4 linked regions of the Caenorhabditis elegans genome follow. The gene in region 1 interacts genetically with each later gene. Each region holds a gene or a part of one and is shown in the gene's direction. Other genes may lie near its edges.

The links.
Region 2: of ark-1 (region 1) and nekl-2, changing one enhances a phenotype caused by changing the other (phenotypic enhancement), as found in Caenorhabditis elegans (one large-scale study listed by BioGRID).
Region 3: of ark-1 (region 1) and gpc-2, changing one enhances a phenotype caused by changing the other (phenotypic enhancement), as found in Caenorhabditis elegans (one large-scale study listed by BioGRID).
Region 4: of ark-1 (region 1) and ham-3, changing one enhances a phenotype caused by changing the other (phenotypic enhancement), as found in Caenorhabditis elegans (one large-scale study listed by BioGRID).

What each region holds. Positions count from the first base shown.
Region 1 is NC_003282.8:12,627,997-12,633,007, reverse strand, and holds the start of ark-1 (Ack-related non-receptor tyrosine kinase), read left to right. Parts: upstream 1-1,985; 5' UTR 1,986-2,041; coding exon 2,042-2,115; intron 2,116-2,227; coding exon 2,228-2,313; intron 2,314-2,739; coding exon 2,740-2,914; intron 2,915-3,533; coding exon 3,534-3,768; intron 3,769-4,328; coding exon 4,329-4,649; intron 4,650-5,011. UniProt on the Caenorhabditis elegans protein: Probable tyrosine protein kinase which plays a role in vulva development, probably by acting as a negative regulator of the let-23/EGFR and let-60/ras pathway. Involved in the negative regulation of germline development.
Region 2 is NC_003279.8:6,661,136-6,665,674, forward strand, and holds nekl-2 (Serine/threonine-protein kinase nekl-2), read left to right. Parts: upstream 1-1,998; 5' UTR 1,999-2,070; coding exon 2,071-2,163; intron 2,164-2,339; coding exon 2,340-2,487; intron 2,488-2,534; coding exon 2,535-2,653; intron 2,654-2,698; coding exon 2,699-2,894; intron 2,895-2,938; coding exon 2,939-3,060; intron 3,061-3,151; coding exon 3,152-3,251; intron 3,252-3,297; coding exon 3,298-3,383; intron 3,384-3,742; coding exon 3,743-3,952; 3' UTR 3,953-4,025; downstream 4,026-4,539. Other genes in the region: ZC581.7 (Tyrosine-protein kinase), read right to left, coding at 1-320, 373-519, 568-648, 696-749, 1,012-1,087, 1,136-1,152; ZC581.9 (Protein kinase domain-containing protein), read right to left, coding at 4,090-4,261. UniProt on the Caenorhabditis elegans protein: Probable serine/threonine-protein kinase required for the completion of molting. May play a role in endocytosis in the hypodermis syncytium.
Region 3 is NC_003279.8:6,755,965-6,758,708, forward strand, and holds gpc-2 (G protein gamma domain-containing protein), read left to right. Parts: upstream 1-1,798; 5' UTR 1,799-1,803; coding exon 1,804-1,892; intron 1,893-1,943; coding exon 1,944-2,043; 3' UTR 2,044-2,214; downstream 2,215-2,744. Other genes in the region: hrpf-1 (RRM domain-containing protein), read right to left, coding at 1-87, 132-261, 304-382; calu-2 (EF-hand domain-containing protein), read right to left, coding at 2,274-2,523.
Region 4 is NC_003281.10:10,119,110-10,123,474, forward strand, and holds ham-3 (SWI/SNF chromatin-remodeling accessory subunit 1), read left to right. Parts: upstream 1-1,671; 5' UTR 1,672-1,673; coding exon 1,674-1,727; intron 1,728-1,776; coding exon 1,777-1,908; intron 1,909-1,966; coding exon 1,967-2,218; intron 2,219-2,270; coding exon 2,271-2,802; intron 2,803-2,908; coding exon 2,909-3,209; intron 3,210-3,542; coding exon 3,543-3,612; 3' UTR 3,613-3,816; downstream 3,817-4,365. Other genes in the region: gtf-2H3 (General transcription factor IIH subunit 3), read right to left, coding at 1-112, 162-218, 266-585, 654-885, 938-1,039. UniProt on the Caenorhabditis elegans protein: Involved in transcriptional activation and repression of select genes by chromatin remodeling (alteration of DNA-nucleosome topology).

The sequences.
Region 1 (5,011 bases):
GAAATGTGCTATGTAGACACCATGGTGCATCAATTGAAAAAAAAAACTGAAAATTGGGAAAAATTGAATTTTCATATAAAAAAGAATTAAAAAAAAACATATCCTGGCTTCGCAGTGTTACGCTATTCGAAATTTTGTGTGCAGTTTTTTCTGAAATTTTCTTTTCAGTATTTCATCTATGATTTTTTTTAGAAAAATGATTTTTCAAAACTTTTCTTTCATCTCGTGGCAAGACCTATCCGAATGAATTCGTGCGCCTTTTTAAAACCTTGCAAAAAATTCAAAAACTTTAGAATCTCCGTAACAATAAAGCAAAAGAAACTTTACATTCATTAGCTAATTGTATCTAACCGTCTGCGCCTCATGTTCGCTTGAAGTCATACACTATTTCAAAGTGTACTTCAACTACAACCACCAGTACTACTATTACAAGATATTCGCCCTTTTTTCTTTTTTTTTCTTTCTTCTCCATGTGTTTCCACATCCAATTTGATTGATGGTCTTTCCCGTTTTCTCCTTCATTTTTTCGGAATGGAGCTCCTTTTTTTATTCGATTGTTCTCGGGATATATGCAATATTAGAGTTTTTCTTTGTTTTTTACGTTTCCATGTAGTATGCTTTAATCCTTTCGCATTTTTCTGAAAATATTGCTTAAAGGCGCACGTAATTTTCCGGATGGGTCTCGCCGCAAAAAAAACAATGGGTAATAAATATCACTTATTGAAGCACTTTTGGAGCACATCCATATTTTAAAAATCAATGTATGTTGTGTTATTATCACAATTTTAAGTTTAATTAATTAAAGAAAAAAATTGAATCTACCAAAAACTTTATTCGCCGCGAGACCCATCTGGCTAAATCCGTGCGCCTTCGACTACAGTTTTCAGAAAATTGAGAAGTTACGATATTGTTTAATGAACCATGCGGCGATAAATTCTTTTCGAAATTTTTTTTCAACTTCCCGTCTTTCTAGTTTAATTCGAATTCAGAATAGTATCAGTCTAGTTAATGGTTTTTGCGGGTTTTTTATTTGAAAGCATTTTAGAAAATTTTATGGTAGCGCTTTCCGATTTTTATATTTTTTATTTATTTTCATGATTATCATTCGAAATGCTGAGAATACTAAATAGCAGAAATTGCAAGAAAATTTTCAAAGAAAAATCTAAATTTGTACCATACACGTTTGTTTCTCGTGGCGAGACCCAGTCGGAGAATTGCGTGCGCCTTTAAAAACATAAAATACGATACTTTTTCGATACATTTTTTTAACAGAAAAATGTGAATCGTCAATATATTTACATTCCGCAGTATTTCGCTGTAAATGCCTTAAATATTTTCTATTTTTTTTTAATTTCTATTTTCGAAAAATACTGAATTCTCCTATTGCAACAAACTTCCATATTTAGTAAGTTTTCAACACTACATAAATGTGTATTGGAAATGAATTGAAAAATAAAGGGAAGCACGCACAAACACGAATTTGTCGAAATAAATGAATTTTTGCCCGGTTCATTGCACGCAATTCTAAACATGCAGAGAGTGGAAGTGAGAGTGACCAAAAGTTTTTTTTGTTCAATGTTCCTGGGTCTCCTCTCTTTGCATGTAGAAATGTATATCCAATATCTTTTTTTGAACATCTTTTTTCCAAAGAAATGTTTCATTGATTTTTGTTGAAACTCAAATTTTTTAATTTTTTTGAAATTGATTTTTCAGTGAAAAATTGCTCCATTTTCTTAATTATTTATTAGTTTTCAAAAAAACTAGCAATTTCAGAAGTATCAAACACTGTACTCCTTAAAGGCGCATAGCATAAACTTTAAAATACGTGAAATCGTTTCGAGAACTGGCGGGTACGGTATTTGCTATTTTAAACTGTTTTTTCTTCATTTTCTGAACACGTGTCAACACATCCTCCCACGCCTTTCAATTCTGTTATTTTTCCGTTTAAATTGTGTAAAATTGACTGTAAATTCTAAAAATTGCAGGCAAAACAAACGTCAACCGGGGGTAGAAACAACGAAAAAAGAAAAATATTCGAAGAATGCGAGAGGAGCCGACGGCGGGTACCGCTGATGCGACGCTCAATAAACTGCTTCAAGCAGCCGATTTATCAGGGTAAGAGCTGGAAAATTAAGATTATTTGCTGAAAAATGGGGTTTTCAGAAGAAAAATTAACAATTTCTGCGTAAAAACCGAGATTCAAGTAATTAAAAAATAAAATTTTCAGCTACGAATCAGATCTCCGTCGAAAACTAAAACTACGAAATGCTGCCGATTTACAATATGTCGAAGAAGTCGATTTGTTGTCTGTTGGTGAGGATTTTTTTTTTAATCTCAATGAATAATTATTTTAAAAATACCGAAAAAATCACAGTTTTGTTAGTTTTCCACTCAAAAATAGAACAATAATCTCTGAAAAAAAACCAGAATAACTTCTTTAAAATTCTAAAAATAATATTCGACAAAAAATAATTAAATTTGTTTTGTTTTTTTTTTCTACTTTCTGCCTCTAAATACCATCAATATTTACACAACGATTCAATCGAAACAAGTGTTTATTTTTCTCATTTTTCAATCGTATGACTGCTCATTTTGTGGCCATTTATTTTAGTTTTCTTTTTTTTAATTTGAGATTTTTTAAAATTAGTTTATTTTTCTCTGAAATTAAATTAAAAATTGATCGGAAATTAAGAATTATATTTCAGAAAAAAATCCGAAAAATAAACTTACATTTTTCAGGAATGAGCCGCCCGGAGCAAAAGCGCCTCCGAAAAGAATATACAAAAATGTTTCCGTCTGGAATTTTTGGAAAAGTGAAAAAAGCATTCAAAAGGGCGGAAAGTTTGGATCGAAAAACTTCGAATTCAGTTGCAAATCAAGATGATAATGATCATCATGTAATTCCAATTGAAAAGTGAGCATTTCTGGGAAAAACGTGGAGCAAAATGGAAAATTAAAAAAAATTTTTTTAAAAACTCCAGAAAAAAAGATGTTTTGGCAAAAGATCATTTTTTCAGAATGAAAAATTTGAAAAAATCGAAAGAAAATTAATTTTAAAAGTATGGTATTTTCAGAAAAAAAAACAAAAGAAATAATTTTTTTTTTTCGAAGATTAAAAAATAAAAAATTTTTAGCAAATTTTATTCCTCTTCGCAAGAATAACCACCACATAAAAATATAAGTTATCTACAAAAAAGTGAAGAAAAATATCTAAAATTTAAAAAATCTGATTTTCGTTATTGAAAATCAGAAAAATCGGAAATTTCCAAGCAAATTTGCATTTTATTTATTTTTAGGTTTTAAATTTTAATTCAAGTTTCCTAGAAAACAAACTATTTATTTAAAAATTCCTTGTTTTCAGAAAAAAGTACAGAGGTTTCGACTTTCCGAGATTTTGCAAAATCGAAGAAAACTGTGTTTGCAAATTTGACATTACATCATATTATTTTTTCAACATTGAAAAATCTCTTTTAAAATTGCTCGATTTAATTTTTCGAGAAAATTAATTGAAAACTAAAGTTACAATTTTCCAGAATAACGCTTTGCAAAGAGTTGGGACAAGGAGAATTCGGGTCAGTTTGGCAAGCAGGATGGAAGAATTCAGCAGGAAGTGACGTCATTCAAGTAGCCGTAAAATGTGTTGGATCTGATAAACTACTTGCCACGTCATCATCATTTTTACAAGAAGCTGCAATTATGACACGAATGAGACATGAACATGTTGTTAGACTATATGGAGTTGTTCTTGATACGAAAAAAATTATGTTGGTAAGGATTTAAAAATTAAAATCTAAGCCGGAACAAATCTGGTAATATTAGAATTTTTTGTATATTCAAATTTTTTGTCATAAAACCGAAAAAAAATTTCAAAAAACAATGGAAAAAATATCGTAAAATAGAGTTTTAATGCAATTTTCGATTTTGCTAGAAAAACCCAGAATAAATATTAGATTCTCGTATGCCTAAACGAAGACAAACAAAGACCATTTTTACAGAAAAAAAAAATACCGAAAATTATTTTAAAAATTGAAATTTTTTATGCGACTTTTGAAATTAAAATTAGTATTTAAAAATTGTTTTTAATAAGAAATCTCTATAGAACCCTAGAGCTTGATTTTTTGCATTTTTCATCAAAAAAAGGAAAAAAAAACGGAAAAAATGGTCCAGAACGATGTATTCTAGCCTGAAACTGTCAAACTCACAGCAAAAATTGCGCACTTCTCCTCCTCGTGAGAAAGTTTTAATGATAAAAAATCATAAATTTTCGAAAAAAATTGAACATTTCAGAATTATCTAAAAGTTCAAAAATTATAACAAAAAATTTGCAGGTCTCGGAGCTCGCAACATGTGGATCTTTGCTGGAATGCCTTCACAAACCGGCTCTCCGTGATAGTTTTCCAGTTCATGTTTTATGTGATTATGCTGAACAAATTGCAATGGGAATGTCATATCTTGAATTACAAAGACTCATTCATCGAGATCTTGCCGCAAGAAATGTGCTCGTTTTCTCACCGAAACTTGTGAAAATATCAGATTTTGGACTATCGAGATCTCTTGGAATTGGTGAAGATTATTATCGAAGTGAATTTACACCGAATCTTAAGCTTCCTATTGCTTGGTGTGCACCGGAGTGTATTAATTTTTTAAAGGTATTGCAAAAAAACATTTGCTGAAATTTACCAAATTTTAATTTTTCCCCAATTTTGAACAATTATTCAATTTTCAGACCCCTTTTTGTTCGAAAATTTCACAAAATTTCGGCCTAAACTCCGATAATTCGCAAAAATAAATATTAAAAACGAAGAAACAAAAAATTCCAATAAAATTTTCTTTTTTTATTTCAAATATTACATTTCAAACAAAATTTTAAAAAAATGTATTTTTGAAAAGTTTTATTTTAAAAAAATATTTAAAATTGAAATGTTATAAGAATTTTTAAATTCATACAAAAACCGTTTTTATAATATTTCTAAAAATCTATAAAACATAATTCTTTAACATTTTTAAATTA
Region 2 (4,539 bases), on another chromosome or scaffold:
TCTATCCCACATGCAGCGTGATAAGTGTACATGATCCTTGTCTTTGTGCTCAACTTGGCTCCCTTTTCCACTAGTTTATCCTCTACCGATCCACCGTTACAAAGCTCCAGAACCAGCAAGTATGGAATATCATCAACAATGTATCCATAGAACTTTACAATATTTGGATGGTCATAGAGTTGCATAACTCTCGCTTCCTTCATCATCTCGGCTAATGATTCTTCGTCGTTTCCTTCAGTGTCAAGTTTTTTTACAGCAATTTTGGTATTGTTCTTGGTGAGACGGCCAAGATAGACGGTTCCGTAGGCTCCACTACCAAGCTGAAAATTAAGGTTTTCAGGTATTGAAGCCTCTTTCATTAATAATTAATACCTTCTTTTTAAAGTCCACATCTTTATGCATTAATTGGAACTTTCCCTTGGGAATCGCACGTTTCAAGATCACCCGTTCTCCTTTGATTTCCATAGTTTCTTTTTGCATTGAGTCAACCAGCTTCCCAATATTAGGAGCTGATTTTCCCTGAAAACAATATTAAATTTGTTAGTTAGAAGTACGGTGCATGCATACCCCAATCTTTGCAGAAGTCGGATTCCGTTTGATTTCGAAACGACGTATTCCTTTTTTCAAACGAACAGCCAAGTAGAGTTGCTGAAATAAATTCACTTTTGAAGATTATTTAAACTAAATTGGCAAACCATTTTGTTCAATTCCTGATTCATTTTTACAACAATCATGTAGTCACCGTCATTCTGAAAAAAATTAAAATCGTTTATGTTGAAAAATCCAACGTTCTTCAAATTTGAAACCAATTCCATCTGGAAATCCATCTAGACAGTTATTGTGTTCACCAGGACCCTTGTAAGATCGCTGTAGACGCTCATCACGTTACGTTTGTGTTGAGCGCGTGCTCGCGATAGGTCCATTGTGGTCACTGATTGAGTCAATATGTGTACAGTGGATACGAAATGACATAAGATCCACGGATAAAGCGCCCTCTAAATTGTCACTTACAACTAGAAGCTGATCAGCATCCTGGTTCATGAGTGCACCATGATAATACGGTAGGTTAATGTCCTCTTCAAGAATCCTGAATTCATGAAGATTTTAACAACAACCGCATTTAAATTCAACTCACTTTTCTTTGTTAGCCATTTCCGCGTTGGATAAAAACTAAGAACTGAACTTGGAGCGAAGTTCAAAACCTTTTTATTGAAAGGTGGAGGGGGGAGGGAATGAGTTCACGTTGTCATCATTTTATTAAAATTAAAATCAATTTTTCAAACAAAGAATTCTTTTTTTCCTATTTATTAGTATTGCCTGCAAGTCTAATTTTCAATTGGTCAGTGCATGAAAAATTTTTTATGTATCATTTTGTATCCAAGACTGCTTGTTTTTACCTACAAAAACTGCAATTTTGCCTAGAAATAAACCAGAATACTGCATAATAATAGCCAACATGACTTTTAAAAAGGCTTAAATTTGTGTGGTGTAAGCAGATAAACGGCAGTTTATTTGCAGTTAAATGGCAGATGGCACACCTCTGGTGCTATATATTTGTCCCCCCAACTAACTGCTGGCGGTCTGCCAACTTTCTGCCAATTAAAAATAGCCGTTCTATCTGTGTATCCATTGCTCCAGGTGGCCAAAGTTTTCTATTATTTCTCTAGAATTGAGTTTTTTATGCCATTTTTTTGAGGTCAAACAATCTTTTATAATTTAGAGAATATGTCTTCGAAGAGAAACATTAATTGATTTGTTTGATTGATTTCTTGCCGTTTCGTTGAAATTGTTAACCAAAATAAAGCGAACAGTGTTCGTGTGTTCGTTTTACAGGTTAAACTTATCACATGAAAAACCACTAGGATCTGTCAAAGAGACAAGTGATATATAAAAAATGCGCGGCATTTTTCAATGACTTCCCCAATCCCTTTGATAATAAACCTGTTCTTTCAGAGAGACGCAGAAGAAGAACACCGTCGGTTATTGATTATTTTTCACTGATTAGTCACGTCTTCACATTTTTCTAGAATTTATAGTTTTGAATCCTATCTATTCAAATATTATTTTCAAATGGACAATTATGAAAAAGTGCGTGTCGTCGGACGTGGTGCTTTTGGAGTTTGTTGGCTGTGTCGCGGTAAAAATGATGCATCACATCAAAAGGTTAGTCAGACAATTGTAATAGTTTCGTTGGACTCTTTTACATTTGAAGCCTGGTATGGTTTAATTTAGGGAAAATAATCAATTTTTAGAAATACTTATTTTATTGGAAAATCAGTTTTTTTTTCAAATAGCAGTACTGTGTTATAATCTACTAACTTTATAATTTAATTTTTCAGGTAATTATAAAACTCATCAATACTCACGGAATGACTGAAAAAGAGGAAAATAGCATTCAGAGTGAAGTAAATTTGTTGAAAAAAGTTCAACATCCATTAATAATCGGGTATATTGATTCTTTTATTATGGATAATCAACTTGGAATTGGTAAGTAAATTTAATTTTAAAATTGAATTAAAATTCGATATGTTCAGTTATGCAGTACGCGGAAGGAGGAACATTAGAGAGATTAATAAATGATCAGAGAGCGATTAAAGATTCAAACATGAGAGAATATTTTCCCGAAAAAACTGTTTTAGATTATTTTACACAGGTTAGTTATCATCTTAACTTTTTACTGAAACAAATATTTTTGAAGATTCTTATTGCACTCAATCATATGCACCAGAAAAATATCGTTCATCGTGACCTTAAGCCTCAAAACATTCTTATGAATCGCCGAAAGACTGTTCTGAAGCTATCGGATTTTGGAATTTCAAAGGAGCTTGGAACGAAATCTGCAGCGTCGACTGTTATTGGAACTCCAAACTATTTAAGCCCTGAAATTTGTGAAAGTATGTCAATTTCATTTTAATAATCATGAAAATATAATATTCAGGTCGCCCGTACAATCAAAAAAGTGACATGTGGTCTTTAGGATGTGTTTTGTATGAGCTTCTTCAGCTTGAAAGAGCATTTGACGGCGAAAATTTACCAGCCATTGTAATGAAAATCACCCGGGTATGTACCAAAAAAGGATAGGTCCCAAAACCCTTGCATTGTTCCCTGATGTTAAATTTTTAAATTTAATCATGTATCACTCAATTTCCAGTCAAAGCAAAACCCGTTGGGAGATCACGTATCAAACGATGTGAAGATGTTAGTGGAAAACTTACTTAAAACACACACGGATAAGAGACCGGACGTATCACGTAAAAAAAATTTCCACACTTGGAAATGTAATCGATTAATTTTCAGAGCTGCTTTCCGATCCACTTGTTCTTCCCTATTTGATATCAATTCATTGCGATTTGGGAAGAATCGAACCTCCACCGACGGATAAGGTAATTTTTAATTGTATTAGTGTTTTGATTTAGAGAAAAATGTCATGTTTACTATCTGGCCTTAACAGGGAATCATAATTCAGTTTTAAAGAAACCATCGACGTCATGCTAGTAAAAATAAATTCCTAGCGAGTTCTGTAGGTCAAACAGCGGAAAATATAAAAGCATGCTTTTGTTCTAATCTTCTTAATTAAATACCAGATAAATTACATTCTGAAATAGTGCTGGAAAACCAAAAAATTATTGAAAAACCTCTGTAACACATCAAAAATGATCACTTGATCGCACAGAATCCGGATTTTTTTCAGCCGTACTTTGAAATGATGTTCATTACTTGTCATGAATTTTATTTTTTTCAGAGAAAGCCATCAGCTTCATTGAGCAGTCGACTTCGAACGTATCCAACACAATCAACACTTCGTCCGTATTCTTTATCATCAAATGCTCCAACTACCCATTTGACACAATTAACACCAATGCCATCTCATATTGATTCTGGATTCTTTTCAAGTGGAAGAACATCAAATCAGAGAACACAATCAAGAAGTCAAGTGCATTCAAAGTATTAACTCCTGTATTAATTGTTTGTTTCTTTAAAATTAAAATTGAAGTTATTTTTTCACATAAAAACCAATCATTCGGAAGTGGGCAAAATATCACAAATGTTACTGTACGGGAAATGAGAAAGTGGACAAAACAAAGTATGCTAGGTATGATCTTTGTACAAAAGATTACGGTAGGTGAGAACAATGTTGTGGCCGAGATTTGTAAATGAGTTTGGTCGAGCAGGTGGTTGTTCACGTTGAGGATCCAGTTCAGCATTCGGAGATCGGGTTCGGGCTCGTCTTTCTGAGGCGCGCGCATTCCTCTGTTTGAAACTGAAATATTTGGATTTTAATTCATATGTAGTGCAAGTTTTTTGCCCTAAACCTACGGTACATGTATGTTTTATTCAAGTTGACAGGCAATTGCCTTTTTAAGGTCCCTATGAGAAATGGATAACCATGGTATTATTGTAGCAAAAACCGTAACAACAAGGAGTTGAGAGTTACAGTACTCCTCAAAGCCACCCACTCGGCAAAACGGCCTAACTTCATAGCATACTCTTGCAACTTCTTAACAACAATTAGGCATTTTAGCTTTTAGGCAAACTTCT
Region 3 (2,744 bases), on another chromosome or scaffold:
TAATGGTCACGATCTCCACGATCTCCACGTTCACCTCGATCTCCACGCCTTGTTGGTGCTCCACCCGCAGGAAAAACCTCGATGTATCTGCAAACAGTTAATTCGTTAAAAGAAATATTTGAAAGTCAAACCTGCTTCCCAAGTGCTCTCGGTCTTTTTTCAAAGCATTGTTGTAGTCTTCTTCATTGGTAAAAACCACTTTCGCATCACCGCTGGTTCGACCGTTTCTCCTTGGAATTTCCAAGCTTTCGATTCCATTATCTTGAAGAAGATTTTTTTATAACGATTTAAAACACCACTCACTTCCGAAAAAATCTCTTAGCTCCTGTTCAGTGGCCTCCCATGGTAATCCACGACATTGAACTTCATACGCAGTAGACATTTCTGAAAGACAAAAACGGATTTTTCTGATTCTGTTCTTTTTTATCCGTCGAGATCAAATATACGTTTTTGTGGCAAAAATTACAAAAAACTAATACAATTTTCACATAAAAACCGAAAGAAAACAAAGTAACAAAACAAAAAATATTTTTCGATTTAAACTCTCGGCCGTGCATTTGCGCGTAGCGTCCGTTGCAGTGGTCGCAAACACCGATTGTTTACCGTACTACGAACAATAAATGATGCATTTTAATATTAATTTTTCTTTTGTTTCGAGGCTCTATGTACCACCGTTTTCTTATTCTTTTACAATGTATTTTTGAACAAAATTTTCACTTATTTTCTCATCTTCCATTAAATGCAAACAGTGAGTTTATTTGGTCTGAAAATGCTTTGCATCTCCAACGAGTAAGAAAAGCTGTTCTCTGTCTAGCAGCATCTTACAATTGTAAAACTGATGGTTGGCTATTTAAATGAAGTTTTAATTTTTTGGGCGATGAAAGTCTCATTTTGTTTTAGAACTGCAGGATATATTCACGGTTTTTCAAAGATCTGTCAATTGACTTGTCGATAACGAAAAAAATCTAAAATGCTGGCTTAATAATTTAATTTCTCACAGTGAACTTTAATATACATAAATCTTTTTCCGAATATAGTGCCATGATTTTCTGTCTGTCCTTTGTATATAAGCTCCACACTTTGAAAATATAACACCAATTAATGTCTTCATTCCCCTCCATTTCCGTCATCTTCCATATATTCTCACTTCAATTTCCATGTCTTCTTCGTCTTCTCAATTTTCCTTCGTAGGGCTTGTGTGTGAGGTTGTCTCGCGTAAATGTATGCGCCAGAGCGAGAGTGTGTGTGCCAATCGAAACAGCAGCAGCAGCACTCTGCCCTCTACAATGTCTCCATTTTCACTACACTCTTTCAAGTATTGATTTTCAAATGCGAAGCACAAAGCGAGGAGGAGCGCAGAGAAAAGACTGGCAGGGTCCCGCTGGTGCTCACTTCTTCTCTCATTTCTGTCTTTGCTCTGCTCTGCTACTCCTTTTATAGTACTCATTTTTTCCAATTCGACTGATATTGTCAATGTATAGTCAGAAACTTCGGTTTTCAATTGAATAAAATCCATGATTCGACTGTTTTTCAGTTAATTCAACCTAATTTAAACCTTTGCTTTTACCAAAAACCTCTTTTTTTCAAGTTAAATAATGTCAGTCGAACTTATTTATAGGCCAATTTTGAATGTTCTTAACAAGTTTAATTTATAACGTACACTTGCAACTACCCGTTTCTCATAACTTTCTGAATACTATTCGTTCTCCATGGTATTCGCAATAATTCGTATAATTTGGCTTTCAAATACTCTTTTTCAAACGATTCTCATTTCCGATTCAATAAAGAAATGTTTCAGACAAGATGGATAAATCTGACATGCAACGAACCGTCGACTCGCTTCGCAGCCAGCTCAATATTGAGCGTACTCCGATCACTGTTTCGGCAGCCGAGTAAGTTAACGAGATCAGAATGCCCAACTTTCAAAATTTTGTTTCTTTCAGACTTCGTCGCTTCACCGAAAGCCAAGAAGATCCACTTGTGAACCCAATCGACAAGAAGGTTAACCCATGGGCTGAGAAGAGCAAGTGCAGCATGCTCTAAATCATTTATTCATCCACCATCGCTTTCAAACCTCACTTTTGTCATCCATAATACTAATCCAAACGCCGATTTTGTCTTTACTATTCGTCCTATTTATATGATCCAATTTTCGCATTCTTCCAATTTTTTGTAAAATGAAAGCAAACTACTGTGAATAAACTATTCAGATATATACAATTGTAAATAATTTATCATTTGTTCAATTAACTTCGATTCAGAGATCTACATAATTACAACTCGTCATGAGAATAATATGGGTGCAGATGATCGGCTTCTTGAGCAGCTTCAGTTTTGGCAAAAAGAGCATGATGCTTCACAATTTCTTCATAAGACAATTGTCCATCTTTATCATCATCTGAATTTGTTAGAAGACTTTCAGCTTCATAAGATCCAGCTGTTGTTCCATCAACGAGAAGCCAATCGGTCAGCTCGTCGCCGGCCAGTTTTCCGTCTTTGTTTTTGTCATAAACTGTACGGAATCTAAAAATGGACACAAATTAGGAAAAAAAAAATTGAACGACTTTTCTCCGAAGCAGAATAGTTTAGAAATATATTATTTTAAAATATATTTTAAATAAATATTGATTCGAAAGTATTTATATATTGAAAAATGAGTTAGCCTATTTATAAAACCGTATTATTTCAAATAATTGTATTTTCTAAAGTTCTAAATTTTCTTAAACACATGTTTCTCAAATATT
Region 4 (4,365 bases), on another chromosome or scaffold:
AAACTTTGCATATTGGAGTATATTGGCAGAGGACTGAAAGACAGATGGAGCACACCCAACCGGAGGATACAAGCTGATGATGACACGCACAGGATGCTCGATAATCGACTGACTGAAAATTATAAACTATGAGTTGGTTCCAGTCGTTGGTTTTGGCTTACATTATGAGAAAGCTTCGAGAATACTGCACGGTGAGTTGGATCGGTTAGCATATTAGTCTGGAATCAAATAATTAATATGAAGATCAAAAATCTGTGAAACTTACCATTAAAATTTTCAATAAAGTCTGTGGTTTTTTGGCATGTAGAAAAGATCCGCCAGTAATATCTGCTGCCTGTTGAAGGATTCCACCAGTAAAATCATCTCCCATCGATACAACATCAACGCAGATTGACTGTTTTGCAGCAGAGAAGAACAAATTCATTAACGATCCGTGTTCGCTTCCCATGATAGGAGTAATTGATATCACTACTGCTCTATTCGTAGCCTTTTCAGATGCGGTTTCCGATTGTTCTGATGTAGTCTGAGGTCCAAGAGAATCATCACATGGATCAGCAGTTACTACTCGGCTGTCTTTTTTCATATCTGAAATGTCGAAATATAGCTTCCGTTTTTATATATTTTTTTGTTAATTGGAAGTTCCTCCAACTCACGGCAAAAAGCATGAGCCAAGGCAGGTCCTAGAGGTGCTCCAATAGTTGCATCATTAGTTAATGCATCACTACTCAATAGTTCCCGCAAACGCTTCACAACAAGAAACGAAGCATTCCGATCTTCACATCTTGTAGAAGAATATATCATTTTGTTATCCACATTTCGTCCGTATGCAAAAACTAGAAGCTGATTATTTGCAGATTGTCCTAGATGAGCATTGCAGAATGATACCTAAAAATAAAATTTTTGATGAAATCTTTTAGCGGAATCAAATCAAACATACGATTGCTCGTAGAATAATTCCAATTGTTCGATCACCGTGTGCACTTGCTAGCATTCCCCATGAGCAAGATGATGTTTCGATTAAGACCGATAGTGTGCTCATCTGGAATTATTTAAAAATTATTTCATTTATACTTGGATAATTGACATTAATTTACGAAATCGTCAGACATTTGGAAACGTTAAATAAATGCTGGCCTAGAAAACGAACATTGCGGCCTTGCAGGGCAGAGAAAATCGATAATGAACACTCACACCGCTCCGTGTGCTCCTCTAGCTCTTTCTGGCTGCACATCTAACAATTATTAGGATTTTTAATTTTTTTTTCCCTTTAAATTGAGAAAAAATACTATTAAATGTTGTCGTATCCTTAATAATTAATTATTTTTCACTTCAAGAATAGAGAAATTCATTATTTTAAAATTAATTAATTATTATTAAGAAAAATATTGATTCTAAAAAGGAAAACAACTCGAATTAAATTTGAAAAAAAGAAAAAAAAGAATAGAAACACACATTAAAGGGTAAGTTGTCCCGATGCGGTGCGGGTCTCGTCACGATTTCAACAAAAGCTGCATGCGCCTTTAAAATAGTACCGTATTCGTATCGACTTTCTCTCATTTTTGAATAATTTCTCGCTTCATTTTTCTTGTGTTTAAACATGTTTTAAGACAAATAACTTATTATTTTTATCTTTCTGGCTATTTGTTTTGAAAAAATCTTCATATTTTTCAGGAATGCAAACTCAAGCGCGGCCACCAGTTCCGCAGGGGCCAAGATTCAACCATCCGGTAAACTTTTAAATCGTTTTTCTTTTAAAAATACCTTTTTGATTTACAGGCAACACCACAGCAAGTACGTCGGCCGATTAACGCGCCGTTGCCTGGACAAACCGCTCAAATACAGGGAAACCGGGGCCCACAGCCTCCGAAAAAGAAAAAGCGATATGCCGATAAATTAATTCAACCAAAGGTAAATATACTTGAAAACTTTCGAATTTTCCTTTAAAAAAATAATAAAATAATTTCAGGTTCGCGAACTGGTTCCCGAATCACAAGCCTATATGGACTTGTTAGCATTTGAGCAGAAGCTTGATTCAACAATTACAAGAAAGAAGATTGATGTTCAAGAAGCTCTGAAAAGACCCCAAAAAATCAAGAAACGTCTTCGTATATACATATCACACACATTTATAGCTGGAAAAGAACCAGAGAAGGAAGGCGACGATGCATCTGTTCCTATGTGGGAATTACGTGTTGAAGGACGACTTTTAGATGATATGGTAGGACATATTGAGTTAACACATTAAAATTAATTGGTTTTTTCTGTTACAGCAACATCCCACAGTTGGAGCAAATCCCCGTCCAGCTCCAAAACGGAAATTCAGTTCATTTTTCAAAAGCCTAGTTATTGAGCTGGATAAAGATATATATGGCCCAGACAACCATCTCGTTGAGTGGCACCGTACTCCACAAACCAATGAAACTGACGGATTTCAAGTGAAGCGCCCCGGAGATCGTCCCGTTAAATGCACAATCCTTCTTCTACTCGATTATCAGCCAATGAAGTTTAAACTTCATCCGAGACTTGCAAAAGTTCTCGGAATTGCTGCAGAAACTCGTCCGAGAATTATTGAAGCCCTGTGGCAGTACATCAAAACTCACAAGCTTCAAGATCCACAGGATCGTGATACAATCAATAATGATCTTTTCTTGGAGCAATGTTTTGGTGTGAGCAAGATGAGATTTATGGAGATTCCTCAAAGACTTCATCAACTCTTGCAACAGCCTGATCCTTTAGTCTTGAATCATATTATTCAGCGGCCTGATGATGGTCAAGATAAAACTTCTGCTTGTTATGATATTGGTAAGAACTTTATAAATTAATTCTAGATTTTTTAAGACCGGAAGTTTGAAAATGTTTTAGTTTTTCAATTTTTCCTGTAAAAATCTCTTTCTCATTTTTTCTTCAGATGTCGAGCTCGAGGATCCAGTCAAACAACAAATGGCAAATTTCGTTCACAATCAAACAAATGCGAACGACATTCAACTACTTGATCAAAAAATATTCGACTTGGTAGATCAAATAAACGAGATGAAGCTGCGTCGTGATTTCTTCCTTCGTTTCTCGAACGAGCCCAGTGGATTCATCAAGAAATGGGTTGTAAGCCAGAATTCTGACTTGAAGACTTTAACAGAATCAAGTGGTGATGGAGAATCCGATCGTTATGCGACAACGTACAGTACAACTGATACAGATGAAGGTGTATCACGGTATGTTCATAAGCTAATTGAAAATATATTTATTTATAGAAAAAACTCAAATTTAACAATAGAAACCTAAAAATGTTTAAAATTGCCGAAAATTTCCTCGTTTTTGCGGAATTTTCAGCGATTTGTCAACATTTGTTTATAGTTTTAAAATAAATAAAAAATTTTTTAAAGAACCGAGGAAAAATTCCAAAACGATGAATTGCAGTTACAGTACTCCTTAAGGCTGCACAATTTTTCTAAATTTCTCCGTATTTTTGGCGAAAAAAATATCAAAAAAATTCACAAATGACTAATAATTTATCATTTTTATATCCAAAATTCTGTATTTTCCAGGTACATGTATCAGAAAATCCAACAAAAACGAGCCGAGCTGGAGCAAAGTCTCGGAATCCGCAACAATTAATAAATTATATCTCTTTCCGTATAATATCGATTTTTTCTCTCTTCCTTCTCCCTCTGCCGACCTGTAAACTGGGATCTCAACAACATTTTCAAAAATTCTCTTTTTATCGAATCTAATTACGTTTTATCTCAATTCTTCACTAATTATATAATTATTTTTCTCTCCACTCCAAACCAAATTTTAATTGATAAATTATATGCATTTTAAGCTTATGCTCGAAAATTTAAACAGTGGTTTATTTATCCAATTTATTTATTATTTTCTTTTTTACCACATGTGTGTAATATGTAAATTATAGGAAAAAACGCGCCTTTTGAAATCGAAGCACAAGTGCGCTCCATGGGCACGCGGGCTCCGCCTCAAAACGTTAGGTCTCGTTAGGTTTTTGGTGAAAAAATCGTACATTCAAACGTTTTCAATTAATTTTCCGGTTTTTTGTTTTTTTTTTTTGCTGTTTTCGGTTATTTTCAATGATTTTTACGTCGAGATCATGTTTAAAATTTTTAAAAAATCAATTTCGGCTTAAAAATGATTTGAAAAAAACAACGGAATACATTACAAAAAAACCTGCCTTTTATTTTTTTCGTCTTTTTTGCAATGTATTCCGTTGTTTTTTTCAAATCATTTTTAAGCCGAAATTGATTTTTTAAAAATTTTAAACTTTTACCTTGTATATACCTAACCAACTTTTTGGAGGCGGAGTGTGTTAATTGAGGCCCCACGAAAAGGGGAGCAGAACGAAAAGGGGATCTC